Nothobranchius furzeri: one gene and its partners. The protein of the gene in region 4 interacts with the protein of the main gene of each other region in a pairwise test. Links are inferred from orthologs where the notes say so. Each region holds a gene or a part of one and is shown on either strand. Other genes may lie near its edges. The genes, in order: cyb5r2, mcm7, yju2, golga2, lypla1, zbtb16a and histone deacetylase 4.

What was found.
Region 1: the proteins of golga2 (region 4) and cyb5r2 interact in binary tests that used the Homo sapiens proteins (3 or more experiments, as listed by UniProt). The two-hybrid records come from large-scale screens. The link is inferred for Nothobranchius furzeri from reciprocal best matches to the Homo sapiens genes GOLGA2 and CYB5R2.
Region 2: the proteins of golga2 (region 4) and mcm7 interact in binary tests that used the Homo sapiens proteins (3 or more experiments, as listed by UniProt). The two-hybrid records come from large-scale screens. The link is inferred for Nothobranchius furzeri from reciprocal best matches to the Homo sapiens genes GOLGA2 and MCM7.
Region 3: the proteins of golga2 (region 4) and yju2 interact in binary tests that used the Homo sapiens proteins (3 or more experiments, as listed by UniProt). The two-hybrid records come from large-scale screens. The link is inferred for Nothobranchius furzeri from reciprocal best matches to the Homo sapiens genes GOLGA2 and YJU2.
Region 5: the proteins of golga2 (region 4) and lypla1 interact in binary tests that used the Homo sapiens proteins (3 or more experiments, as listed by UniProt). The two-hybrid records come from large-scale screens. The link is inferred for Nothobranchius furzeri from reciprocal best matches to the Homo sapiens genes GOLGA2 and LYPLA1.
Region 6: the proteins of golga2 (region 4) and zbtb16a interact in binary tests that used the Homo sapiens proteins (3 or more experiments, as listed by UniProt). The two-hybrid records come from large-scale screens. The link is inferred for Nothobranchius furzeri from reciprocal best matches to the Homo sapiens genes GOLGA2 and ZBTB16.
Region 7: the proteins of golga2 (region 4) and histone deacetylase 4 interact in binary tests that used the Homo sapiens proteins (3 or more experiments, as listed by UniProt). The two-hybrid records come from large-scale screens. The link is inferred for Nothobranchius furzeri from reciprocal best matches to the Homo sapiens genes GOLGA2 and HDAC4.

Annotation. Positions count from the first base shown.
Region 1 is NC_091744.1:84,976,166-84,980,398, forward strand, and holds the start of cyb5r2 (NADH-cytochrome b5 reductase 2), read left to right. Parts: upstream 1-1,433; 5' UTR 1,434-1,552; coding exon 1,553-1,567; intron 1,568-1,741; coding exon 1,742-1,897; intron 1,898-2,356; coding exon 2,357-2,429; intron 2,430-4,233. UniProt on the Homo sapiens protein: NADH-cytochrome b5 reductases are involved in desaturation and elongation of fatty acids, cholesterol biosynthesis, drug metabolism, and, in erythrocyte, methemoglobin reduction.
Region 2 is NC_091741.1:79,972,599-79,976,593, forward strand, and holds the start of mcm7 (DNA replication licensing factor MCM7), read left to right. Parts: upstream 1-1,195; 5' UTR 1,196-1,306; coding exon 1,307-1,337; intron 1,338-1,736; exon of another isoform or gene 1,737-2,529; intron 2,530-3,008; coding exon 3,009-3,088; intron 3,089-3,312; coding exon 3,313-3,477; intron 3,478-3,578; coding exon 3,579-3,703; intron 3,704-3,775; coding exon 3,776-3,956; intron 3,957-3,995. Other genes in the region: cohesin subunit SA-1, read left to right, coding at 1-47, 137-224, 423-473. UniProt on the Homo sapiens protein: Acts as a component of the MCM2-7 complex (MCM complex) which is the replicative helicase essential for 'once per cell cycle' DNA replication initiation and elongation in eukaryotic cells.
Region 3 is NC_091758.1:25,015,582-25,019,869, forward strand, and holds the start of yju2 (splicing factor YJU2), read right to left. Parts: upstream 2,801-4,288; 5' UTR 2,670-2,800; coding exon 2,646-2,669; intron 2,399-2,645; coding exon 2,298-2,398; intron 1,639-2,297; coding exon 1,494-1,638; intron 1,394-1,493; coding exon 1,259-1,393; intron 1,179-1,258; coding exon 997-1,178; intron 909-996; coding exon 761-908; intron 486-760; coding exon 320-485; intron 233-319; coding exon 111-232; 3' UTR 1-110.
Region 4 is NC_091746.1:54,872,945-54,876,444, reverse strand, and holds part of golga2 (golgin subfamily A member 2), read left to right. Parts: coding exon 1-63; intron 64-189; coding exon 190-408; intron 409-1,758; coding exon 1,759-1,872; intron 1,873-2,052; coding exon 2,053-2,277; intron 2,278-2,687; coding exon 2,688-2,784; intron 2,785-2,985; coding exon 2,986-3,077; intron 3,078-3,500. UniProt on the Homo sapiens protein: Peripheral membrane component of the cis-Golgi stack that acts as a membrane skeleton that maintains the structure of the Golgi apparatus, and as a vesicle thether that facilitates vesicle fusion to the Golgi membrane.
Region 5 is NC_091747.1:46,195,701-46,199,851, forward strand, and holds the start of lypla1 (acyl-protein thioesterase 1), read left to right. Parts: upstream 1-1,351; 5' UTR 1,352-1,596; coding exon 1,597-1,665; intron 1,666-1,801; coding exon 1,802-1,833; intron 1,834-1,928; coding exon 1,929-1,994; intron 1,995-2,100; coding exon 2,101-2,148; intron 2,149-2,242; coding exon 2,243-2,313; intron 2,314-2,388; coding exon 2,389-2,462; intron 2,463-2,770; coding exon 2,771-2,872; intron 2,873-3,096; coding exon 3,097-3,273; intron 3,274-3,358; coding exon 3,359-3,418; 3' UTR 3,419-4,151. Other genes in the region: mrpl15 (large ribosomal subunit protein uL15m), read right to left, coding at 1-62, 339-496, 617-721. UniProt on the Homo sapiens protein: Acts as an acyl-protein thioesterase. Hydrolyzes fatty acids from S-acylated cysteine residues in proteins such as trimeric G alpha proteins or HRAS.
Region 6 is NC_091750.1:30,346,090-30,349,589, forward strand, and holds part of zbtb16a (zinc finger and BTB domain-containing protein 16-A), read left to right. Parts: intron 1-2,357; coding exon 2,358-2,528; intron 2,529-3,500. UniProt on the Homo sapiens protein: Acts as a transcriptional repressor. Transcriptional repression may be mediated through recruitment of histone deacetylases to target promoters. May play a role in myeloid maturation and in the development and/or maintenance of other differentiated tissues.
Region 7 is NC_091754.1:47,244,973-47,248,909, reverse strand, and holds the start of histone deacetylase 4, read left to right. Parts: upstream 1-1,137; 5' UTR 1,138-1,699; coding exon 1,700-1,814; intron 1,815-3,937. UniProt on the Homo sapiens protein: Responsible for the deacetylation of lysine residues on the N-terminal part of the core histones (H2A, H2B, H3 and H4).

The DNA of each region.
Region 1 (4,233 bases), on a different chromosome or scaffold from region 4:
TCCAGGTTCTGATAGAGTCTAAGCAGGTGTGTAACAGCTGCAGCTTAGACATCTCTTACTGGTGGTTTCGCGATCATCTAAAAATAGGATGGGAGGCAGATCTTTTAGTCATCAGGCTCCTCTCCTGTGGAACCAGCTCCCAGCTTTAGTCCACGAGGCAGACACCTTGTCTACTTTTAAGACTAGGCTTAAAACATTTTCATTTGATAGTGCCTATGGTTAAATTCTGATGTTAGCCCAGGTTTAAACGAATGGGGGAGTAGAGGGAGCTGGAGTGTACAGCAGCCGAATACAGGCGGTAAAGACGGTTCTCCCTGGCCCTGCCTGCCACATGCCTCCACCTAAAAGGGTGGGTTATCTTCGAAGTATGCTGCTATAGGCTTAGACTGCTGGAGGACATACTGACCACTTTCCACACTCTGCTACTTTCTTCTATCACTACTCTCTAATTGCATTATTACTTGCGGCTTCAGATGTTAGCTTTATTTTCTTTCTTCCTTTTGTAATATTCAATCTAAATGTCATATATAAAACTATTAATTATCAGCTTCAGATCTATAAATACCACACTTCATCTAAGACTCACACATACACACACACAAGGTTGAACGCTTCTTGTAGATTCTTCCAAATTAAAATATACATTTTAGAGTTTACTGCAGTTTATAAATTAGTGCTAACAGCATAGCTAGTCTACTGCCCTCTAGTGGATGATCCACAGATTGGGAAGGCACATTTCACTTTGTTAAACTTGTATAATTGTTTAGGATTTTTTTTAAGTTATAAAAAGTTGAAGAATTCTTAAAATAACTGAAGTGGTAATGATTTTTTCTGACCAACAGGTACTCGTTTTTCTAAAAAAACGAATTAAAATGTTTTACTTTGAGCAGAGAGAGCATCAAGCTGGTGAAAGAAGAACCATTGCAAGTTTCTATTACATTTTTATGCATTGATGCTTTTCTGTTAGAAAATTTTTTATTCAGAGCTCTGATCAAAAACGAGTCAAGGACCTTAAAATCAATTTTTTTTAAAATTTTGCATCTTTAGACTTTTTTTTGTTTCTTTTAAACATTTATATTGCATTAATTTCTAATAATGCAGAGATTTAGTGGAAGTTTTAAACCAGCAGGTTCCAAAGATCCACCAGTTTGGATGATTATTCATATTTTCTACACTGATAAAATTCACTCTTGAGAGCTTACTAGTCACATTAGGACGTGTACTGGTGTCCGCTTCTTCCAAACTGGTTTGATCACGTCTTGCTGAGGGTCAAAGAACCTCTCCTCCTCCCCTCTTATCAGTGGTGCCATTTCAAGACTGGTCTGGCCTCCTGAGCACCACCTCCGAGTCAAGCGTCACCGTCAGACCTGCTTTTTATTGGTGCTTTGGACCTGTCACCTTTTCCCCAGCGTGAGCCTTGCCCCCTTGTGTGTGTGTGTGTGTGTGTGTGTGTGTGTGTGTGTGTGTGTGTGTGTGTGTGTGTGTGCCTGCGGGCTCCTCATTGCCTAGACTCTGGTCTTCTGCTCTGTCACGCTACATTTTTTGCTCAGCTATGGAACTAACCTGGGTGAGTACAGGTCTTTTTTTACATTAAATAACATTTTATTATAATAAAATTTTTGACTTTGAATTAAGTTTTTGTTATTTAGCTGCAATAATGCTTCAAATCCTGTAAAAATGTTTGGTTTTCTGCAGAACTGGACCACAGCTGGTCTCATTTAATGTGACATTTGTCCTGCAGACAATCCCAGTAGTACTGGCCCTGTTTGTTGTGGTGGTGACGGCGGTGTTCGCCCTCTTGAGAGACTCTCCAGAAGAAAAGAAGAAGAAGAAGAAGGGGCCGGTAACTCTTCAGGATCCTATGGTGAAATATCCTCTTCCTCTCATCAGCAAACAGGTGAGAAGCAAACAAAGCACCTTAAAGAAGCTCCACACTTACATCAGTCAAAGAAGAGGTAAAACTACCATAAATTAGAAGATGACTTGCTTCATTTTTTGAAAATTCAATGCAAAGCGAGGACATTAACAACTTCTATTGGCGGCATTCTCAGGTTTGCAGCTGCCAGAAATCAAATTAAAGTCACACACAAGGTTTAGTGATGCCAGATGATCAAATTTGTTTCTTTAGAGCCCTTGTGACTCGTTTTTGATGAGAAAACACATTAAATTAATATGAACATAATTTTGGATCCTGTATTTGAGCGCTTGTGGCAGCTGCAGGAGGGGCTAAAGGCTGCAGCCTGAGCCGAGGAGCTTTAAAACAGGTGGTTTTCATTTAATCATGTTAGAATAAATAATGACTTTAGCAGAAAAAAAGATGGGAGTCATCTTCTTGTTTGTACATTTCTGTCTGCAGGAAATCAGCCATGACACCAAAAAATTTCGGTTTGGCCTTCCGTCTGCGTCTCATGTCCTTGGACTGCCAGTAGGTAAAGAAATCCCTCATTTATTGCATAAAATGTAAAAATATGGATTTTATTTTGTTTCTTTATTAGCTTATAAACAAAAGTACAACAAACAAAAAAATACAAACATACCACAAAATATTTAGTATTCTGTTAAAAGCTGAATTAAAAACAAAATCATATTTTTTGTTTCTAATCCAACTTTAAGTTTCAATATAGCAGCACTTCCTAACAACAATAGTAGCTGGTGGAAATGTGTTTGATCTGAATTCAGTTCAGTTTATTTCTAAAGCATCAAATTCAATTCAATTCAATTCAAGTTTATTTATAAAGCGCCAAATCACGACAACAGTCGTCTCAAGGCACTTCACATAATAAACATTCCAATTCAGGTCAGTTCATTAAGCCAATCAGAAATAATGTTTCCTATATAAGGAACCCAGCAAACTGCATCAAGTCACTGACTAGTGCCAGTGACTATACAGCAACCCTCATACTAAGCAAGCATGCAGCGACGGTGGAGAGGAAAACTCCCTTTTAACAGGAAGAAACCTCCAGAGAATCCTGGCTCAGTATAAACAGCCATCCTCCACGACTCACTGGGGATCAAGAAGACAGAGCAGACACACACACGCACGCACGCACGCACGCACGCGCGCACGCACACACACACACACACGGCAATCACGGCAAGAGTCGTCTCAATGCACTTCACTAAGTAAACAAGATTTTACAAGATACGCTTGTCAAGGTGCATCTAAAATGAAGTTGTTGTTTGTCTTCTGAGTTAAGAAGAAGAAACAATCTTTTATAGTATCTCTCAAGATCAAAACCACGAGGCGCCTAAGAACAAACATTCAAAATTAATATATAAAAATGATTTTAAATCATATAATTGGGAAAAGTAAAAATTGTGAGTAAAAATGTGAGGAAAGTGAAAAAGAACGAGAAAGAGAGAATCAGTAGATCCCGGCTGCAGCAGAATTGGTAGAAAGAGCAGAATAAGGAGAGGGTGGTGATGAAGGTCACACCAAAGCCTGAACAGGTGAGTCTTCAGCTGCTTTTTAAAGGAGACCACTGAGTCCACTGATCTCAGGCTCAGGGGGAGAGAGGTCCAGAGTCTGGGGGCCACAGCAGTAAATGATCTGTCACCTTTGACCTTCAGGCTGATGTGCTGCACAACCAGTAAATGGAAGACACCAGGAGGTCTGTCATTAACTGCATAGACACTAAAGAGATACTTTACAACTTATTCATAATTTTAAATAATTTTCTTCAGCCAATATGTGCTAAAATGACCCTTTTCAGGTTTAAGGAAGTGTCACTCAAATCCCCACTGTGGCCAGAAGACTGCATTTGCAACTTCAGAGTGCCCGTCCAGCACCTGTTACTCTTAGAAACAATTGAGCTGACATACCTGGCACTGCAGTCTGCTTCCAGCCTGTTTCCTGCTTGTTTTAGATCTTAAACTCGGCTGATTTGCTTCATTTAGAGATGAACCTCTCCCATAGACACGAACGAAGGCGGAGGAGCAGTTAGATTAAGGTGTTAAAAAGATGAACCCACTTGAAGGAGATTAAGTTTCACTTTTGCTTTGACAACAGCTATTTACAACGGACACTAGGGGGTGCTAAAAGCAAGCAAAACTATCAAGTGTGCCGCACCGATCTCAGCTGCCTGTGGCAATCGCATTTCAAATGCGGCCTTTGCAGGGTCTATTCTTTTTAATATCAATGAGTAGCAGGAAGTTGTTAGCCACGGCTTTAGCTTCATGTAAACCCGGAGTTCCCGAATGGCAAGACAGCACCGTCCAAACTCCAGAGTGAGT
Region 2 (3,995 bases), on a different chromosome or scaffold from region 4:
TCTGCACCCCCTCACGAGCAGGAGGATCTGAATTCCCACCTCACCATGTAAGACTGGTCTAGAACTAAAGGGAAGATGGTTTTTGTGAATAACGTTTTAACTCTTAAACAAGCTAATTAATCTGTTTGCCACTTAGGCTTTCTCTGATAGAGGATGACATTTCAGAAGAAGAGGAGCCTGAGATTGAAGATTATGAAAGTGACCTGGAGTCTGGATACACACTGGTAAAACAGCAATACTGATAGATCTTAGCTTTAGTAATTTAGGATTGATTTGGATAAAGGAAAACTTTGAAGATCTGAGTTCAATTGGGATTTGTGGAGTTATAATACAGTCTGAAGACTTGATTTAAAACTATGTGAATAAAATAATTGTATTCCTGGTAAGATTAAACAGTCAGTCTCTCCATTTTCCCCCTAAAGCCCTCAACACGCCACACCTCTGCCAGTTTCCTGGATGAGCTCTTTGAGTGATGTACTGGAACGCTTCCACCATTTTCAGATGCCATTTTTATGTTATCAGTGTTTGAAGTATTTGCATGAATTGAAATCTCAGCCACCTGTTCATCCCTGTGACTACATCTTTATCTTCATGTTATCTGACTTGCTGCAGTTTGCCATTAAATGATTGAATTGTTAATGTTCTGATGAAAAGCAAAAACTGATATTAAAAATGTTTAGTACAGTTATCCGAATGAAAGCTAAAGCTACCTATTTTGAACACATTTTTGCTTTGTTGATGTGTTTTTTATATAATTGTTCATAAAAAGTGAAGTATTATCGGTTCGAAGTCTGTAATAAAATGGAAAAGCGAGTTAGTGGTGACAATTCATTCCAAAATTGATCATCATTTTACTCCGTTTTTGAGACACTTTTGATGAGTGTTTCAAAGCAGCCTGTGTCTGCATGCACTCTGCTGTTAACGTGTTGAGTTGTTTGTGTGTAACATACAATAAATAACACCCATTGTGATGAGTTGTGTTGTCTTTAGAACATTTCGCGCCATTAGTGGAAAACCCCGGCGGAAGTTTTCATAACCATGTGACACGCAGCTTCCTGCGATTTTCGCGCCACCAAAACGTCCCGCCCATACTTCGTGAAAGATGCGACGTGATTTGCTGCTGGCCGAGGAGAGTGGCGCCAGTTTCTACTCTTGAGACCGGGAGAAGTTCTGGCTGCATGTGAATGAATTCAAGTCTCCGGTGCAAGAAATTTGCTAAACTCTTAAGTAAAAACCTCGTTTAGGTACGTGGGCACCTCAAGATCTCGTTTTCAAGTTATTCGCCTGAACATCAACGTGTGCTGCCATGGCTCGTAAAGATTATCTGGCAGAGAAAGGTAAATAGTTGTCTGTGTGTGTCAGTAACAGCATGGGTGGTAGCAACAGGTTGGACTGAAAGTCTTAATAAATGTTACCTATATGAAGTATGTGTCTTTCAGAGTTGAATTACATGTTCATGTCCTGTTTCAGTAGTTTACGTCACTAGCGTTTTTAAATATTGCCATTTGAGTTAGATAGAAAATTACCATTTTAAATATGTGTACGAATATGCGTCATTTAGCAGCGATGTAATGGAAGTACTAGTTAAGTATTTCACAGTGAGTTTGTTAACGTTGGGTCGTCGGTAACCAGTTTAGCGTTGTCTGCTCTTTACTACCCGGTGACCCGGATGGATCCTTAAACAAAGGAAACAGGCGCCACTGTGCAAGCACATCCGGGAACGCGCACACTATCAAGACGTGTAGAGTACATAAGTAGTCAAGGAACGAGTGCAGACAGTCGGACCTTTCAAAAACTACTTTTGCAAAGTTATACTCTATGCTGTCGACGTGTGTCGGTGTAAAATAAAATGATTTAGTTTAGGGGTAATCTATGTGGTCGGGAAGTAAAGGAAAATCCTTCACCCAACTATGTTGTACTTTTTGTCAAGTGTCCGTTAACGCACCGTCTGGGCTATATTTTGATTTTACAGGGTTGAACAGTGCTGTTAGCTTTTTCGTTACTAGCTAAAATGAATTTTAATACTGATATTTGCTTCCAGCTTATTCGTTTTCAGCATAAACGATTATAGCTTTGGTTTATGTTGATCACTCACATGGGTTTGGAAGGGCTCTGTAGCAATATGTGGTGTATTAATGAATCGTATACACGCGTAGTTCCTGAACGTAGTCGTGTTCCGAGTCTAATTCAGCGAACGCACTAACCAGCAGCAATTTCTTAGTCGTCATAAACGTCTCGTGGTAAGCATTAAGCAAACCTCCTCTCGCCGCTTAGTGATTCTGTCATCAGGACATTAGAAAAGGCAGCGCAGCTGCTGCGTTCACAACTCTAAGCTAACCTGGGCTAATGTTAAAAAATGGCTGGCCACGGTTTGAAAACAACAACCGGGACTGGTTCTAGGAGCGGAGGAATCGCGGAGGGATATCTCCAGTGACTGGGCACAAAAGCCATGTGCTGCTTTGTTTACAATAACATCCTCGAACATGGAAATAACCCCACGACGCAGCAAATTTCCTCTACGGCGGTAAAGTAAGTGGAATATTAAGTTCAGTTCGAAGGCTTGTTCCGTCGCCCGTGGCGCCTAGTTAAATATCGTTGGTAGTTGTGGCTCCTTCGAGAAGTGAGGGGGGATATTTACCAGAGGAAGGGGAAAAAAGGACCGAACTGAGCGCGCCTGTTGTGTTTACGTTCCCACCCCGGGGCCATACGCTGCGTAGTACTTGTTATTTCACTCTAAAACTAGGAGACGAGACTCACATGAGCGACATTCGCTCCATGTTGAGCCCCAGTGACAGTTTATGTTGAACTGTAGCAATAGTGACTCATCGAGATTACAGGATGCCGTGTTACTCAACAAAGGGGGGCTCGTCGTAGGACAACAAACTAGCTCCCAGTGTGCAGGCCCTCTGCTGTTGGGTTTAATACTGCTATTTTAGGAAAGGGACATATGTGAACGTGGCCTTTTTATTTAGTCTTGTAAAGTGGAGCTGTTGTGTTTTTGTTTTCAGAGAAGTGCAAAAGGTTTCTGCAGGAGTTTTACACGGAGGATGACGATGGGAAGAAGGTGTTCAAATATGGAGTGCAACTTGTGAGTATAGTGAATGCTTTTTACGGAAAGAGGTTTTGTGATGTAATTCTGTTTATCTTCCTGCTTTGACAACTAGTTTGTGTTTTGTAACTAGGTTGTTTCTTTTTTGTCTCGTCGTTCTATATCGTAGTCATTTGTTGTTGTTTTTTTGTTTTTTTTTCTCACAAAAGCACATGTGTAATTGTTTTCTGAAGCTTGACTAATTATTTGTTTTGTGTGTTCAGGTGCAGCTGGCCCACCGGGAGAAGGTGTCCCTGGTTGTTGAGCTGGAAGATGTGGCTGAGGAAGACCCAGATCTGGTTGAGAGTATCTGTGAGAATGCAAAACGCTACACAAACCTGTTTGCTGACGCCATACACGAGCTGCTGCCAGAATACAAGGAAAGAGATGTATGTAGATCTTAGTTTTGAGTACATTTTTTAAATCCGCTTCCAGTGCATTTCAGATTTTTTATCTGAAGGAATTCTAAAAAGATACATTTTGTGCTTAGATTGTGGCCAAAGATTCCCTGGACGTGTACATTGAGCACAGGCTGATGATGGAGCAAAGGGGTCGTGATCCGGCCGACACCAGAGATCCACATAACCAGTACCCACCTGAGCTCATGAGGAGATTGTGAGTAGAACCAGATTCGTAATTTTCCTTGTGTGTTGGGGCTTTTTTCACTATAGTGGCTTGTTTCTGCAGTGAGCTCTACTTCAAGTCTTCCAGCACCTCAAAACCCAAAGTGGTGCGTGATATCCGGGCTGACAGCATTGGCCATCTGGTCACAGTCCGAGGCATCGTGACCCGCGCCACCGAGGTCAAACCGATGATGGCTGTAGCTACGTACACGTGTGACCAGTGTGGTGCTGAAACCTACCAACCAGTAAGATCTGGTAAAACCACTCAAGTTTTGATGTAAGAT
Region 3 (4,288 bases), on a different chromosome or scaffold from region 4:
ATGTAAATATGTCTTCTAATACACACCCACCAATAATTACACAATTTCACTAAATAATTCTATTCCATCATGTTCCCTGTTGCATTATTTCTGTGCCAGCCGGGTTTCAGTCACTCGCTTTCGTTGCTGTCGCTGTCTGAATACGCCCCCAGCAGGCTGAGAGATGATGACCCATTTGGGGTGGCGCCGGTTTTAGAAGCGTTGGTGGTGTCGGTTGTTGATGTCTTTGAACCTGTGAATAAATTACATTAATGTGGAATAAAAGATTAATAATTAAGCTATTGAGCTTTTAGAATGATCGTCAACACAAAAATTTTACCTGTTTTTGAGGCAGGGGGAGCTTCCTCTGTACTCGGTTTTCTGATCATCGCTGCTGGTTTCTTTCGTACTACCAGAGAGCTGAGAGCTCCTTTGCCTCCCAGCGTCCCAACACTCCTCTCCCAGCTCTCTACCTTAGCCCTCTTCACGCCCCCGGATGAGGACCCCTGCGGAAACATGCATCAAATATTCCACTATTCGCTGCTTGCAGCTTGGTTTTTGTCATGTTTGTTCATTTTGAGCTGTAGGAAGCTTTATTCCACCCATGTCAGTCTTTTAAAATGATGTAAAACCTTCTACAATCAAACTTAGATTTTTTTTAACTACATAAAGAAATTGAAGATTTTAATACTAAGCTTTTAATATTTATATAATAACTTTTAAAAAACAGCCAAAATAAGCCATAACCCAATATTTTACATATATGAGACTCTGTACAAACCTGTGCTTCCTCGTGTTTATCAGTGGTGAGGATATCTGTCGGCTTGTCTGCACCAGCAGTCTTTGACTGGCTGCTGCTCTCCTCTTCTTCTTCTGAATCAGAGTCGGAGTCTCTCAGTCTTTTCACGAGCACCCGCTCCAACATCTCTCTGCAAAGCAATATTTGAATGTTTAGCAAAGAAGCAAACAGACTTTTCATTTAGACGTGCAAATGATACACGAGCCGTTCTCACTCACTTTGTTTCACGCTCATCTTCTTCTTTTTCTCTTTCCTTCTCCCGTTTTTCCAGTTCTCTGTACTGATCAATCATTCCCTCAAAGTCCACCTGTGCCTGCCTCTGATTGAGCTCCTTCAGCTCCTGGAGGTTTTCCAGAACTTCCATCTCCATCTTGGAATCCTTAGTGCGATTCTCCAGCACCTGAAGGGGATTAGGGAAACATTACTTAACTGTTCAGAACACTAATTTGAAAAACAAGAACAAACATTTAAAACACCAACCTTCATGGGGTTGTTTAGCTCCTCGTCTTCCCTCTCCTGATGGATTCTCTTTTCCTCTTCCTCAATAAGTTTCTCTGCCTGGAAGTTGCGTGTTGCTCCATGCTCCATGGCATAATCCGTGTTCTCTGGGTCAGTCTAGAATCAAAACATAGGCGTATGTGGATATGTTACTAGCAGATTACTAACAGTAAAAGCAGCTTGCAACAGTGCTATTGTGACAATAATAATACCTCACCTTAAATGTTATTTCAGCAAGACATCGAGTACATTTGATGTAGAAACGAAAGATTGGCAGTCCCATGTAGTGCTCGTTCTGGACAGTCTCTTTGCGTGCATTGAACTTCTTCCCCTTGTAGATGTACTCACCGCATGTTTTACACCTGCGTTTAAACATGCATACATCTCATTAAGAAACCTCAGTCTGATATAAAAAAGCATAATCAGGTTTTAACCTAAACACAATGAACCAGGATTTCTGATTTAAATAGACGTATAGGGGAACAAACTAAATAAATGAAGTGTGGCAGTGTGAGCGTCCTGTCACAGTGTCTCGACTGATCATGCGCCCTGGCTACTTCACCAAGGGCTTTGGCTGACTGTTTAGCGTGCGTTACTCTCACTTGGGAGTCTGGGGATCGAATCCCACCCGGGCCCTCGTTTCTCTACCTTGCCACAGAAGGAAAAGTGTTCATTTATAAAATTAAACTTAGACCTTTACGTTTAATCTTAACAACTGAGTTTATTGTATACATTTTGTAGTAAGTAAGTAAGTACGTAAGTAAAGTTTATTTACGTAGCGCCTTTCACAGATATAAATCACAAAGCGCTGTACAACATGAGTAAAATCAGGGCAAATACCTCAAACCAATAAAAACATCATGTGACAACAATAGTAACCAAAATCAGGAGTAAAAACACAGTCAAGATGTGAACAAGAAAGATTTTGTGTGAAGAAACAATCAAACTGTAGGAATCATGCTCTGAAAGTGGTTGTATTGTCCCACCAAATGAAACTAAACGCACTCATTTACACACCTACCTCATATTGAATGGAGCCATCAATCTGACCACATACTGTCGATCTTTTGGGAGTTTAAGTTTAGGGATTTTGGACGGGTCGAAGTCTGGAGGGTAATATTTCTGTGGAAGTAAAAGCAGAAGTTAAATAATTATCAGAGACAAAGCCGTAAACATGTAATGAATCTAAAAAAAACTTTTTAATCCAAAACTCATTATAGGTTACGCTCATTAAAAGTTACAAACGTCAACACGTCTCGTTTATTTATCAACACTGCTAATGTTAGCTTGTTCTCGTTATCTATTAAGACGGAAATTACTCTGTTTCTGATCCACTTTGTAAAAACATCACTCTGTTATGATTACTTACGTTCAGAACTTTTCTTTCAGACATTTTTTACTTTTGTTAGTGATAAAAAGTACAGATATCTTAAAGGTTTAGAAACTAGTACGCAACGTTGACTATTAGTGATAGCACTGTAAACTTCCGGTTTCTCTGTTTAGTCACTTCCGCCTTTGAAAAGGCGATGCTGCCCCCTTGTGGAACGACGACGACCATAGATATCATGTCCATGGAAACATAAACTACAAACACGTGTTTACTCGTTTATATACATATCTAAGAAGAAGAAGAAGAAGAAGAAGAAGAAGAAGAAGAAAGGAGTTTTTATAAATATAGCTCTTAGATGAAAATCACGAGGCGCTTCACAAGAAACAAACAAAATAAAAGATTCAAAACGATGATAATAAAAATCAGGGAAATTGGGGGGAAAAGGAATGAGAAAGATAATTTGGTCGGATTGGCATTGGCATGAAATAAAATAATTTCATTTGGTGATTATTTAAGCAAAACACCTCGGTGAGTGTAGAGAATGTGTTTTATTTGGGATTTACAAAACGTATAACAAGGATTTAAAGATTTTTTTAAATTAAATGTAAAAATGTCGACATTTCAGCATTTAACACATCCCAAATTGTTGGAATACGTCTGGGTACCCAAAAGGCACGTCAGACACATTTCAGAATTAGGTAATAAATAAATCACCCAAAACAAATCGGACAAACTTTATCTCATTAGATCAGCCTGCGTCATTGTTTGATGTACAGAAACCATGCTTCCTTCTGTTATCTGTCTTTGTTTGGAGACAGTGAAGAAGGTCATGACCTTTGGCTTCTCCCTATGCATCAGAAATAGGGGTGTCTGCAATGGTTTGGTGGTCAAACACTGTTCAGGGGTTAAAGTTTATCTGTGCAGAAGGAAATTGGATCTTGAATACAGGTTGGTGTCAGTGTGGACCTGAGATCTGATTTAAGCTTTAAAAAGGTTAAAAGAGTTCATGTTAATTAAACAATCTATGGGGTATTTGAAGAGCTAAACAGAACATCTCTGCTTAGATCCGCCTGCTTCAAGCCCAGATAACTGATTATATCTTTGATGCTTTATGTCTGTGTCACAAGCAGCTTTGTGATCAACATGATTCATCAGTGAGTCGGATAGAGACTGATTTCCCTGAGACAATCATAGAAAATAATAAAGATGTTTATTGCTTTTAAACATTCCATAGCAGGGACATAAAATATTAGACACTGGTTGTTTTGCTGCTTGTGTGTTTGGTCAGCTTGGGCTGTTTTTAAAGCCTTTTATAAAAAAAGCTATCTATCTTTGTTTATGTGCTTAGCAGACGACTTACAATTTTTTTAACCTATAGGGCATGTTGTGATCTGTTTGGAAACCGGAGTATCCGGAGGAAACCCACGCATGCATGGGGAGAACAGGCAACTCCACGCAGAAAGGCCGCAGACGAGTTTCGAACCTGCGACCTTTGTGGTGCGAGGCAATAGTGCTAACAACTGCACCACCATCTATCTATCTATCTATCTATCTATCTATCTATCTATCTATCTATCTATCTATCTATCTATCTATCTATCTATCTATCTATCTATCTATCTATCTATCTATCTATCTATCTATCTATCTATCTATCTATCTATCTATCTATCTATCTATCT
Region 4 (3,500 bases):
CAGAAAGCTCTCGCTAGTTTACAACAGGAGAAAGATTCTTTAACGGCACAGTACCAGGCTCAGGTAGGCATCAGGTTGCTTTATCTGAAGATATTGGTCCATAAATCAATTCAATGTCCCATCATATTTTAGTTTTTGGTCATTAGTGAAGGTTTTGGTTCATCTGAACCCTCTGTATATTTCCACCAGCTTCGAGACAACGAGCAGCTAAGTCGTCTGTGTGCTGAGCAGGAGGCTCGTCTGGGGGAGATGGAGCATCAAGTGGAGAGCCAAGCCCAGGAGGCAGAAGACCGCCGCCGCATGTTGGAGGATGTTCAGTCAGACAAGGCCACCATAAGCCGGGCTCTCACCCAGAATCGTACGCTGAAGGACCAGCTGGCGGAGTTGCAGAACGGCTTTGTCAAACTGGTGAGGCTGAAATTCTGACCTTTTATTTTGTTGAATTACCGTAAATCCTCTAATACAGGCCCGGGCCTGTATTTGACTCAAGCTCATCAAGCTCCAGGCCTTTATTGGAAGGAGGACCAGAATTAGAGGCAGGCCTCAATTTCTATTTGAGCAAAATGAACTAATGGTTCGCTGGAGTTTTTGGCAATTAAAATTGCGCCCACATTTTCAAAGTTAAACACATTTCTTTTAACAACGGTAGTTTCTGCTTCCGCCCTCTCCCCCCTCCCCCTGCGCAGCGGCCGCAAACTCACTGATGCGCCTGCAGCCTCTCAGAGTTCCTGCTGCTCTAAACATTAAAATAATTATTTCATTTTCTGTTCCTCACTTCTGATTACCTTCAATGGTGTCTGTTTGTTGCAACCACCAGGTACAAATCTAACTTGTTTTTATTTGACTATTTTTCTGTCCTGTCTGTTTATTATCTTCCTGCATCTCCTCTCAGTCCTAAAGAAAAACTGCTACCTGGGTTCATATATATATTCACCTTATGAGTTACCTTTTGAGCTGCAGTTCTGAAAGATCTACCGACCGCAAAAACAGCGGAGTGCTCGCTGCTTGGCGGCCGCATCAGTGATCGGTGCGTCACTGGATGACAAGGTGATGCGCCCCGCTCCACAGCGAAACACATCAGGCGCAAATAAAAGACAGAAAACATTAAAGGAAATGAACTGACATGAACAATCGCGTGTCAGTACCGACGCTCTGGCACAGCGCGTTGCCCCCCCCCCCCCCCCCCCCCCCCGAGCGCAGGAGCTTGTCACCTGCTGACAGCAGGCTGCTGTCTTTTCCGAGGGCTGCATCTTGACGGTCATTTTCATGTGACAGCGACTAGTCGATGACAGGCATAAGTCCCTATAGTGAAGTCGACTAGTTCATACAACCCCTATTGCTCCCCAGTGTTCTGCAGCATAATCAGCACGTTCTCTTTGAACTTGATATCAAATTTTCGCCTCCTCTTCATCTCCGCACGGTTAAAGTTACCCTCGCGGTCTATCACTGGCAAATCAAAAGTGAGACGATGACACAACCGCCCCCTGTACTTGCTTGTTACCACATTCCACCCGGCCACAATAAGAGACCGGCCATTATTCACCTCCGCCGACTCCGACACCGGCCAAAATTGGAGACCCGACCTTTAATTGAATACCAGCCTTTATTAGAGGATTTACGATATGTAGTTCCTCTTTTTTCCTCTTTCAGTGATTCCAAGAATTTTTTTTTGTAAGTTTGTCTTCCTTGATGTTCTTCTTTTGCGTGTGTGAGTTTGTGTCATTCAAAAGATTAAAATCAAATTTCTTCATCATGTAGACCAACGAGAACATGGAGCTGACCACTGCCATCCAGTCAGAGCAGCACGTTAAAAAGGAGCTGGCACGCCGGATGGGTGAACTTCAGGAGGAACTGCACAACATCAAAGAGCAGGTCATTTCACTGCACTTTTACACTAATATGAGACAAAACTAACTCATTTGTCCTGTCATTAGTTTATAATGTGCACCACTTTTCTGCAGCTTATATTAACACAATTGCAGATGGAGGTAGGGCTTAAAAGGATCTTCTACATTGTGGTGCTGACATCCTTTTGCCTTTCTTTTCCTCCAGCTGGAGCTGAAGGGTCAGGAGACTCAAGGTCTCCTAGAACAGCGAGATCAGCTGGTGGCCCATCTGCAGCAGTACAGCGCTTACTACCAGGCTCTGGCCTCAGAGAGAGAACGGATCCACCAACAGTATCTGCAGCAGAGCCAGCTCATGGATCGGCTGCAGCACGACGAAAGTCACAGCCGTGCACAGCTGGACATCAGCCAGAATCAGCTCAAACAAGCACAGGTACATGCTGTACAAACAACATCGTCTTATTAAAACAACCATGTCCAGTTAAATACTGACCTTTTATTTACATCAAGTCTGTGGGTGTCAGGCATCTGACGATGACTTTCATTTCCTATTTTCATTGTTATTGGGAAGATTTGTCATTTTATTACCATGATGTCTTCATAAGAATCAATTGTCAGAATAAAAGGAGAAATTAGTCAAATAAAATCCTATTTGTTGCAACAAAATGTTAAAACACAACTGGAATATTCCGTGGAATAAATCAAAGTGGTAAAAATGCATATAAGACATTTATGTCCTTTTTTGATTTCTACTGTTCTGGTTTTTACCTCTTGACCACTTTCTGATACCAACACACTCACAGGTGTTTGTATCTGAGTGATGTTGTGCGTTTGCTGTTGCAGGAGCATTTGGAACAGTTGGTCAGAGACAACCAGCAGCTCAAGACGGAGGTTAAGGAGCTGCTTAACAGCTCGGCCCTTGAGACGTTCAGAGACCAAGGTGTGTTTTCTTCTTTCTCTGTGTGTGTCCTCACATTAGAACAATGTACCGTTGACTTGATGAAGATTCCTGAAAATTCAGTATGATCTACAATAGCAGCAATGCTGAACATCTCCATGTAAAGGAGCTTTGTAGTTGTTACCTGGGGTGTTTATGAAGGGTCTTTGTGAAGTGTTTGATTTAATTTTCTGTGTAATTTAGGAGATGGAGTGGAAAATCAATCGGAGCAGGAGAGCCCTAAACAGTCCTCATCCATTGTCATTCCAGAAGACTTTGAGAGCCAGCAAGAGATGGTAAGATGTCTGATAAACTCTTTTCTTTGTTTGTGGATCAATATAAAAATATGTTCCAAGTTGTGAGGATGACACTTATCTGATATACTATACATTACACCAAGAGGGCAAACATGTTGGATCAAGTAGCGTCAGGCTGCTTTTTAACTCAGTCGCTGCCAGCCGTTTCCTGATCGGTAAAGCCTTTCACTGCCAGCATTTCTCACCGTTTTTTTTTTGAGTCACAGAACGTTGCACGCTAGGATGATGTCAACACCAAAACAACCAAAACAAAGAGTAGACTCACCTCTTACATCAGGAAGAATCTGTGCGTTTCGAGCGTTATCTGTTCTTTCATAACCCGTTGTTGAATTGTGATCGGCAGAAGCTTTTCCGGTTCGTGCATCACTTTTTTTACAGCAGCGACCCAAAACAATGTCCTGA
Region 5 (4,151 bases), on a different chromosome or scaffold from region 4:
GGCCCAGATCAATCAGGTACTGGAGTCGTTTCAGGGTCAGGGGCATGTACTGTGGACGCCGGCTAGGAAGAACAAATAAAACAGAAAAATAACATGACTTAACTCCCTATCCTGTTTGTGATGTATTTTCTGTGTAGTGCAAAAATGCTTTAAGGGTGATAGAACAGTTTTATAAGCTGGTGGGTTACACAGAAATATCAAAAATTAGCCCAGAATTAAGCTATTTATGAGTTCTGCTGCCTAATAAACGTACTGCTTTGTGATCTTTAGATTTTTAAATGATAACTTCCTGATCTACTGATGTGTGACAGATGTAAACCACGGTGACGAGTTTGCACCTGTGTCCTTCGTTGAAACCATATTTTGGTATAACCAGATAGAAGGGGGTCTGCCCTCCCTCGAAGCCCAGCCGGGGTCTGTTCCCCCTCTGCCGCTCTCCTTTGTGACCTCGGCCGCTCCTGTTACCGCCGTGCTGTCCTCTACCTCGTCGTCTCCCCTGCAGACCATTTAAACCACATAAGGTTATTTATCACGTTTACTAACCTCCATCTCTATTCAGATGCTAGTCATGTTAGCATCAGTGCTAATGTAGCCCACGAGACCGGATCAAACGTACCCACTTCCAGGATCCTGGCTCAGGTCGTAGGTTTGCTAAAGTGATCCGCGGCAAATTCTGTAAAACATCCAAAGCTTTACTGCCGGTTTTCTTAGTAACAGACATGTTTCTGCAGCTCACATGTTAAAGTTAGCAAACCAAGGGCAAACTAATCACGTGACTCCACCACACCGGAAGCTATTTCACGGTGGAGTGATGTTTCAAAATAAAGGCACGATACTTGGAATGTCTGGAAAAAAGTGAAGTTTGTATGCATTTCAATATATGAAATATAGCAATTTTAAATGACCGTTTACTTCATTTCTGAGCAACACTAGCTAAAAAAAATGTACAAGGTCTCATGAAAAAGTTGCTGCCGTATTGTAATGTTGCCACTAGATGACGACAAATCACAAGAAAGACCAATCAATGAGATTGGAAGAAAAATTATTATTGATTATTTTAAAATATGCTAAAACATTCCACTTTTAAAAACTATTTATAAATACTATTTAACAATATTTTTTCCGTATTTTCTTTGAATTTATTATATTTTATTGCTAATAAAACAAAATAAAATTATTAAATATACAATAAAACAATTATCAGCAATACAGAAAACAACAACAATAACAGCATGTTATAGTTTATGTGCGAACCTCAAACTGACATTTAAGCGGACCAGTGGCTGATCGGCAGTTAATTGGGGTGCTTTTGAGAACCAATCACTTAAATCAAAGGGCGGGGCTACAAATCCTGTCACAGCAGCTGGCATGGTGTGCTGCTAGCAGCTTCTGTCAGTCAGTGCCACGACTAATTTCTGTCTAAACTAAACTCCCAGAAAGGACAGGACAAGAGACGGTGAAGCGTTGACCTCCATCGTCTGACGGAGCTCGTTCTTCAGTTGCTGTGTATCTGGAGGCCTTCACTTTTGTGTTATATTGCTGTTAGCTACGAAGAGCTAACTTGTTAGCTAACTTGTCCAGCTGCCTCAGCGCTGTATGTGCGGCAACAACATGTCAGCTCCTTTACCTACCATTGTGCCTGCTGCCCGAAAAGCCACTGCAGCGGTGAGCTGTCAGCTCATTTAGTGCTTTTTAGATCAAATCCCAAACATTAGCATGGAACTGCTAGAAATCAGAAGCTGTCGAAATGTGATATGTGTGAACCTCTGTCAGTGAAAATAAGTGTTATTGTTATTTATAGGTCATATTTCTGCATGGCCTTGGAGATACGGGGTGAGTAAAGTAATTAAGTCATTTTTTTGCATTCACACTGCTTTGTCTGTTTAATTAGCCGTTTTATACTGGTTGTTTTGGGTGAAACCTGACAGGCATGGCTGGGCAGAGGCTTTTGCAGGCATCAGAATACCACATGTGAAATACATCTGTCCTCATGCGTAAGTATTTAAGGTTCACAACGCAAGTATTTGATGAGAAAAGTCTGATTTCAAAGCCTGAGTCAAGATTTATGCAGCTTGCTGTTACAATGTCCCTTATCCACAGCCCCACGATGCCCGTCTCTTTGAACATGAGGATGTCCATGCCTTCTTGGTGGGTGATGCAGTTTAAACACACATTTCCGATGACTTCAGTCATTTCCAAATCCTGCACATAATGATTCTGCTGCGTATTTTCTGATTTAAAGGTTTGATATTTATGGGTTGAGCCCTGATGCAAATGAAGATGAGGCTGGCATCAAAAGAGCATCAGAGAACCGTAAATAAATGTAGAAATCTTTGTGCTTTTATTTTTAAAGTTTATTTTTTAAATTATTTTTTTATTTCTCTGCAGTTAAAGCTTTGATAGATCAAGAAGTGAAGAATGGAATACCTTCACACAGAATTCTCCTGGGTGGATTCTCTCAGGTACGTGAGACATCTTTACACACAATGTGTTATTTAACAGTTGGCCATTCACACCTACATGATGTCCATCATTTGATTAATTTATTTCAAACGTACAAAACCCACAAAAATATATATAAGATATTAAGAAAAAAATTTCTGGCAGCCAACTTTTTTTTTTTACTATATTTTATGATGTTCACTGCATCAGATCTCTGGAGTAGTTTTCCATGCACTGGGGGTGTTAAGGGACCTTCTGCCTGCATATAATTTAACGTTTGTTGTCTCTTTGGATAAAAATAGTGAGAAGGACTAGTTTGTTTGTCCAGGGTGGAGCGTTGTCTCTTTACACAGCTCTGACAACTCAGCAGAAGCTCGCTGGAGTGGTCGCACTAAGCTGCTGGCTTCCCCTCCGCAAATCCTTCCCTCAGGTAGGACAGAAACCAGCACAAACACTGCTTCACGAGTCATGCAGCAGAAATAAACAAAGGCAATCTAACAGAAAAGTCAAAAGTAGAAGCTGAACTACATTTAAAACATGAATGAAAAGCACCGTTCAATAACTGTCTCTTTAATGGAATCATCCTGCAGGAACGTTCAACATAATCTGTCATAATCGGATCATAAAAACAATCCTAATCTCTTCTATTTTCAGGCGGTTGTCGGCAGTGCAAACAAGGACGTGCATGTCCTGCAGTGCCACGGGGACGCCGACCCCCTGGTCCCTTTTATGTTTGGCACTCAGACATCAGAGAAGTTAAAAACGCTCATCAACCCTTCAAACGTCACCTTCAAGTCATACCGGGGTCTACCTCACAGTGCCTGTCCCGAGGTCAGCCTGCAGACTCTCATCTTACTCTTAGTGCTCTGATTGTCATTCCTTTGAATTGTTAAAATGTCAATTTGTTCCTCTGCAGGAAATGATTGATATCAAGCGTTTCATAGAGAAGCAGCTTCCTGCCATCCATGACGAGTGAACGAAGAGCATCCGCTCACCAGCTCAGAGCTATCGGAGTCCTCTGACTCCTGTGAAACAAGCTGGACTCGATAACAACAGACTTTGTCGACAGTAAACCCGTGCTGCTGCTACTTAGATTCAGACAGAACAGAAACCCATAAGAGGAGTGACTGAGCCGATCCTGCATCTGACCTGGAGCCACACACACACGACTCAGAGTAACTGTAGTTGCTTGATTGTCAAGCCTGTTGCCATTGAAACATGCCATTTTGGCAGGAAAAGTATGTATTATGATCATTAGGGCTATACCTTTTAGGTTTCTCGAAACATTCTCACAATAAATGGCTTGTTAAATGTTTTTAATAGTCTGCAAGCAGGTTTGTTGGTCTGCCATTTAACTTTAAAAGCTTAATGCATGAAAGAATTGGGCAAAACATTTCATTTTTTAAACATTAATTGACAGCTTTTTGTGTAACTAGTAGGAAAATAATTTTATATTTTTACTATTTTATTAAGTAATTGTATAATTTATTAATAACAAATCGGCACTTGACACATTAAGTACTTTACTCCTCCACCAGAGGGCAGTATAGGACATTTATAAGAATTGGATTAGTTAAGGACTAATCCGGTTTAATTTAAAATAAATGTGTTACATAAAGAGATTTTGTGATTGTTTTAAGAAATTTGCTTTTAGCCTGGATTTTTTTTCCCTGTTTTAATAAAAATCAACATTAAATTGGCACAAACTG
Region 6 (3,500 bases), on a different chromosome or scaffold from region 4:
TACTTTTTAGGGAGATTGTTATTTTTTTATCAAGCCTACAAAATCTGGTCATTAAATCTTAACCTGGAATATTACATCAATCTCTTCAGTGAGACTGAAACATGGTCATCAGAAAATAAATTTCTACATTTTTGAAAGATTAAATCAGTCAGCACATTTGGGCCTCGCGTACGCCTCTAGAAATGTTTTCTGCTCTAATAGGTGGCAAGAAATACTACATTAATCATTTTTAATATTTAAAAAATAATTAGAATGTTTTTTTATTGAAGAGAAACCGTTTTTTTTCTTTTACTTAGGTTAAGTCTGATCAGACACGGAGTTAAAAATGCAGTCTAGATGTGAAAATAGTCCTTACCTGCTGATAGAAAAGAGAGGCAATGCTGAGATGAGAAGTTCATGGACTCGCCCATCTTAACTCGGGACAAGGAGGGATGATGCCTCGGCCCTGCCCCAGTTTTTTCAACCAAAGAAGGACTGTGTCCTCGTCAGCAAGGCGATGTCTTGCTCAGCCAGGCGCCTTGACATTGAGAAACACCCTAGTGTCCAGGAAAGAGCAGAGGGTGTCTCGGCTTATAGAAGCTCGCCTTTAGCATTAGCAACGCCACAACAGGACAGAACTCCTTCATGCTCGTGTTATTTGTGAGGATAAAACATCAACATCACAAAGCAAACACAGTGGTAGAGTTGAGTTGCTGTTAGCCAATCAGAGGCGAGATGTCAGATAATCAGGAAATAAGACTCCGAATCCCGTCGTGTTCTGCTCCCCACTGAACTGGCTCACGTTCTTCTGGAGCGGTTTTCCCGAGGCATCTGTTTATGCTAGAGACCGCATCAATAGTGTTGAATAAACTAAACTCAGTCTTTGAGAATTGGCCCAAAATTCTGATTTATCCAATATTATTTAAAATTTCCTTTCAGTTATTCACCATTTCACACACGACTGAGGTCCAGACATGTGGAATTGTGGCATCAACAGGTCTTCTCCATGCCGTGTGTTTCTTCAGTTCAGCGACTAAACCAGGTGATTTCAAGTGGAGTTGACTTGCTGACGCCACATTTCCCATCTCTGTTATGGTCTAACAAAATAGAGACAAAAGTCTAAAACTGGCTCTGTTTTTGTGTTTAAGGCACAAAGTAGTGGCGGCCACGCTCTTCTGAACGTCCCAAACAGTTTTCACACTAACCGAGAAGTGCAACCGCAGCTGAAAATCCTCTTTATTTGGAATATTGTGGATGGAGTTTATGATCACAGCTAAAAATCTCAGTTTGGAAAACTCTTTCAGACTAAAGATGAACAAGTTGGAAAAACGGTGGTTTGGCTTCTGACCAGTAGTCCTGCATCATGCTGTGAGAAATATTCTGAACACCGTTTGATCAGGTGCTGTTAAATAATATCTGCACCACCGTGTTGCCTGTATGAGACCGAGTCGCTGGATCTGTTGGAAGCTTTTCAAACACAGAGGACCTAAAGATGTTCCACTCATGCAGCCTCCTTTACTTAGAGAAGATATGAAGTCCTGCAAGATTTGAGTCTTCCTCACAAACTAAAACTCCCGTATTTACCTGCTGCCACCCCTCCTCCTATGACATCTACCCTCATCATTTGCGTTCTTCAGCATGTAGAGCTGTGGAGACAGTGCTTGGTCTGGTGTGAGCCCTCCTCCTCCTCCTCCTCCTCCTCCTCCTCCTCCAGTGGTTATGAACATGAGGCGGTGCTGCTCTTCATAGATTTTTAAATTAGTGTCAGCGCTGGCCCAAAGATGTGTTATTGACTGATGAAATAGAAACTGAGCTCCAAACACTCGGTCCTTCCCCAGAGTTCTCCCCCAGCCTGGTAATTGAAAAAGTGTGAGGGGAGTGTGTTGAAGGCGGAGTGCAGCCCTGCGTGAGTGTCTGTGACTGTTTGTGTGCTCTTCATCTCTGCTGGAGAAAAATGCACCGTGCTCGCTTGGAGTCGAGACTCGATTGAAGTATTGCATAGGAGATCTTTATCTCTGCACCCCCCCCCCCTGAAACATGAGAATTGTGTACAACTTTAATCCTATAAATACAGGATGCTTCGTGTGAGTCTGCAGAGGAAGTGAGTGAGATTTAAAGTCTGCCTCTGCATGCACTGTTGAATATCCTGTGGCTTGATCGCTGCGAGCGCACACACAACCTCGTGTGATTCAGTTAGTTATCACTGTGGCTCGGTAGCAACACGCTGCTGGGAGATTTAGCAACCTTGGCTCGTTCCAGAGCGACGTTTTCCTCTCAGAAGTTGTGATTGTTGAAACAGGAAGATAAAAAGAAAGCTATCAGACTGTCGCCCAGCATCTACCTCTAATTAACCTTTGTCGTCCTCCTTTCCTGTGCAGGGTCAGACATGGCCATCTTTTGTCTACTGTGTGGCAAACGTTTCCAGACCCAGACAGCACTGCAGCAGCACATGGAAGTGCACGCCGGCGTCCGCAGCTACATCTGCAGCGAGTGCAACCGGACCTTCCCCAGCCACACCGCACTCAAACGCCACCTCCGCTCGCACACAGGTCAGTGGCCTCGCCCGTCATCCGGCCTCACGGTTTGGTCTCCTCCAACTATCAGAAATGTGGTTTTTCAACTTGGTCTGCTGGTTGTCCACAGAAGATGTTACACGTGATCTTTTTCTTGAATCCGTCTGCTTCAGCTAAACAACGGGCCTTTCTTTCTACGACACGAGCAGCGACAGCTCATCCAGAGTCTGTGATGTAAAAATATGCACAATATACCTTTACTTACTTTCAATGTGTCACTGTTGCTTTTCACCACTCTCTCATTAAACAGTGCATGTCCCCAACAAACTCACTAACATCACTCCCAGCCCTGAGCTGCTGTTAAACAGCCAATCACACATGGTTGCTAGGGAGAACTGGAGACTTGTTGAGAAAATCACCATCGCTGAGTTTAAAGAGCAAACTGCAGGTTAATTTTTTCTAATTCATATAAAATGCTGTCCAAAAACATCCTGTTTGAAATGGTTATCGTGGATATTTCACTTTAAATACACAACAGCAGTTTTCTAGTAGAAAGTGTTTTTTCTCAGCAAAGCGACTAAAAGGCTCGTGTTTCTAAACGTGAACCTCTGACGTAACCAGAGGGAGTCGGACGCTCGGCTGCCTCCGCTCGGCGTGGAGAGCGGCTAGTTTAGGGTAGAGAGGTCATGTGATCCAGTCAGTGTGTGTTCACTGGTGTTGGTTGTGCTCATGTTGGTAAACTAGAGTGTGTGTGAAGGCTGCACCGACGCCAGCCCGTCTGGACATCGAGTCCCCGGGTTTCCAGATCAGAGAAACAACCTCTCTATCTCCGTGCCTGAGGAAACGACGGACTTCTGTAGCCCGCATCGGTCGGTACCGGGTCAGAAAGGTCCGCGCTGGGCTCCGGAGACCCCGTGGTGGGGTTTAAAAAATTAAATGTGGATTTCTGGAGCTCAGATCACCATCAGAACCAGGTCAGAACCGACCACCAGAGGAGATGCGCGGCTC
Region 7 (3,937 bases), on a different chromosome or scaffold from region 4:
TGACGTGGCTCTCTTCTAGTTCCTGAAACGGGTGCGTTCATTCGTAATAGACACCGCTGCAGATACAGTTTACATGAGTAAACTACCACTTTACTTTGGGTGAATAATTTGTACCACATGAAAAGTACTTTTTCTTTCTTTTATTCAAGTATTGTATCATAGCGTATACAGATAACACCATACCTGTTTGGTATCGACTTTACCAGGTTTTAGTGCATCATACATCAGCTTCCTGCTGCCTGTGAGGAGACGGATGCACGCACAGAGACGAGTTTCATCAGGACCAAACCTGACCGCTGCAGCCATCCAGGCAGGGTGGTGTGAGACCAATATCCTCTAGCTTCCTAGATAATAAAAGTGTGTGTGTGTGTGTGTGTGTGTGTGTGTATTTGTGTGTGTTAGCGTGTGTGTGTGTGTGTGCGGATGTGTGTGTGTGTTAGCATATGTGTGTGCGTGTGTGAGCGTGTGTGCATGTGTGTGAGCATGTGTGTGTATGAGCGTGTGTGTGTGTGTGTGTGAGCGTGTGAGCGTGTGTGTGTGTTTGCATGTGCGTGTGTGTGTGCGTATGTGTGTGTTAGCATGTGTGTGTGCGTGCATGCATGTGGGTGCGTGTATACAGGTGTGCGAGCATGTGTGTGTGTGTGTGTGTGTGTGTGTGTGTGTGTGTGTGTGTGTGTGTGTGCGCGCGTGTGTGAGCGTGTGTGTGTGTGTGTGTTTGTGTATGCATGTGTGTGAGCGTGTGTGTGTGTGAGAGCGTGTGTGTGTGTGCACCAGTCTAGTCCACAGAGAATTCCAGAAATAGACCACGGATGGTGAGACTCTCGCCTGTTTTTCTCTTTTTTTCCCCTCTGAAGGGATTTCTCGTTATTTTTTAAATCTCAAACCCGTGTTTGTGCTGATGTCTGTACACTTTATGCTCAGAATGTAAATAGATAAATAGGTGTGTGTGTGAATACACGGACCAGGTGCTGTAGAACTATAAATGCTCACAGGATGCAGAGTGAGAGAGTTATTAGTAACAGATTTAGGAGGAGGAGATGGATGCATGTTGATTGTTTTTGTGCCCCCCCCCCCCCCCCCCCAGCTTTTTATAGCCATGTCTTCCCAGGGCTCAGCAGCTACAAAAGCCTTTTCATGTTGCCACTATAATTACAGCCTACACACACATGGACATGCATGCATACACACACACTCGCTGGAGCAGCGTCTTTGTGTTGGTGTGTGCGTGCTCTGCATGTGCAGTTATACACAAAAGGGTGAGCTATTTTTACCTCCCTCCCCTCCCCTCCTCTCCATCGCCTCCTCATCCCTCTCTCCGCCGCTGCTGCTAGCCACATTTGCTATGCTGAGCACAGGCGCTATCAGTCGAGCGCCAACATCTCTCCAACTCGCTCACAAGCGAACACACACACTCACTCTCACTCACACACACCAGCTGACGAGCGCTCCCTCTGAATCCCGGCTTATTCTTTAGCTCCGTCCGAGCATCCCTGCAGACGCGCCTCAGCGTTTGCTGCTCATGGATCAGGAAGCAGCTCAGGGGCTCGGAGGTGCACAGCGGCATGTGCTCTCCACCGTGCAGATGACCTGAAGCCCCTCTCTCTCTCTCTCCCTCTCTTTCTCTCCCACCTTCTCTCTTTCTCTCTCCGACTGGTTTTAACCGCCTGATTAGCAGGTTTGTGGCTGGAAGCCCGGCTCAATGCTGCGGACCATCTTTGAAGCAGAATGCTCTCTTTCTCCCACAGAGGGAATCCTGGGAAAGGAGCCGCCGCTGGAGGTCCTCAAGACGTCGGCGCTCAACCACATCCCAACAGGTTGGTCAATCTGTGTGTGTGTGTGTGTGTGTGTGTGTGTGTGTGTGTGTGTGTGTGAGTACGTGATGTTACTATCAACCACATCCTGTGTGACTTTGCTTTTTGGATGTGAGCGAGCCGGGGACACACCGTCTACTTGACCAGGAGACACCATGTTTACATCCCCAATGTTTTATTTAAGCCGCTCCGGTGCTGCCATTTTGCTGAATGAAAATCTGGAACTCCGAATGTTTGCGCGCACGCACGCACGCACACACACACACACACACACACACACACACAGACACACACACACACACACACACACACACACACACACACACACAGCTAAACAAACCCATTGTGCCTCTCAGTCAGTTCCTGAGTCCGTTTAATGTTCCCAAAACAATCTCTTGCAGCTCCCAGTGCTATAAGTTCCCATTCCCAAGTATTCCTGAATGCAGATCCATGTTGTCCGGTAGAAATTGTACAGGAAAAGTGAGGATGAGGAGAGTGGAGCAAAACCAGAGGGGCACAGATAAGGAAGGATAAATTGGTGTTGGGATAGTGCATCCCATAATTCTGTAATAAGGAAGCTTAAACTGCTCCCAGCTTTTGGTTTTTTGCCTCCCAGGATGGTTGGGTGAGTCTAATTCCTAATTCTGACTCCCAGACAGCAGCCAACGCTCCAGCACGCTGCCGTTTCTGCTCCTAGGTTATTTTTGTTTTCACTTCCTGCTCCTGCCTCCGGCTCAGCTGATAAAATATTGAAATCCACCAGAGCATCTTCATCTGATATTCTCAGAATCTGTTGTCTTGGCTACGAAGCTGCTGGGTGGCATGTGACCCGGACCGCTTCTCCTGCACGGAGAGGAGGGTGAAGCCATCTGGGAGTCTTTAAAACGCCCTGCAGGTGAGGATCACACCTGCAGAGGCCTCCTGAACTTTAGCTCTGTGTGTGTGTGTGTGTGTGTGTGTGTGTGTGTGTGTGTGTGTGTGTGTGTGTGTGTGTGTGTGTGTGCGCACTCCCAGCACGGATCCTTTGCGTAACGCCGTTGTGTGATGTCATTAGAAGGGCGACCACCCCCCCGCCCACTGCAGCTAAAACCTGATTCTACCTGGACAACAGATGAAGTGACTGTTGGCTGCAGGACTTTTCAGAATGAGCCCTCATCTGTGCCACATCCATTAGGGCCTAAGGGGCGGGGCTTAGGCAGTCGGACCGTGGGACCCGGGCTCCACGAACCGGGCCTCCAGTCAGAACCGCCAGCCCTCGACATTGTCTGGTATAAATAGATTCACAGCAGGAGCCAGAAGAGTTGTGGAGAGCGCCGGAGGGGTCGTAAACAGATTGTGATTAGTTTGTGGAGTGTGTGTGTGTGTGTGTGTGTGCGTGCGTGTGTGTGTGAGTGTGTGTGTGTGTGTGAGTGTGTGTGTGTGTGTGTGTGTGTGTGTGTGAGTGTGTGTGTGTGCGTGCGTGCGTGTGTAGGGGGGGGGGGTATGAAGGAGTGCAGGGGTGTGCAGAGGAACCCGCTGACAGGAAAGGTCGCTGAGTTAAAGCAAACGAAAAAGCTGTCAGAATTCCCTCTGAAGGAGATTCCTTTGAATCCCGATGCCTTTTAGAGATTCCCTCTGATCCACAAACGCTCCGATCAGACTCGCAGGAGAAAAAGAAAGTGAAGCGTGTGGATTCTCTTCCCTCTGAGTCTGAGCTAAATCAGGCTGCAGATCAAAGAGGATCTTTTTTTAGACCCCCCCACCCCCCACCCCCCCACACACACCTGTCATACAGGTAAGTCTGCCCGTTGTGTAATGTCTCTGGAGCCCCCGCCCCCCGTTTGGGTCGGATGGCGGCTGCCCTCATGTCGTCCTTATCTCACACACATCAGTAAACTCCAGCTCTGGCTTGACGTCAGTGCTCTGAGACAAAGAGGTGTTCAAATCAGAGTCTATCTGTTTATCAGCGAGGCTTCTGATTGGCTGGGACGTCTGCTGTGGTAACAAAGTTCAGGATGTCTTCAAAAGCAGAAACATCTTCTGATTGGTTCTCATTAGGGACTTTAAGACTGAACCCTCAGGCTCATCCAGACCGATGCAAGGAGCCCTTCGAGACAGAAAAGAGACATTATGAGAGCAAAGGAACC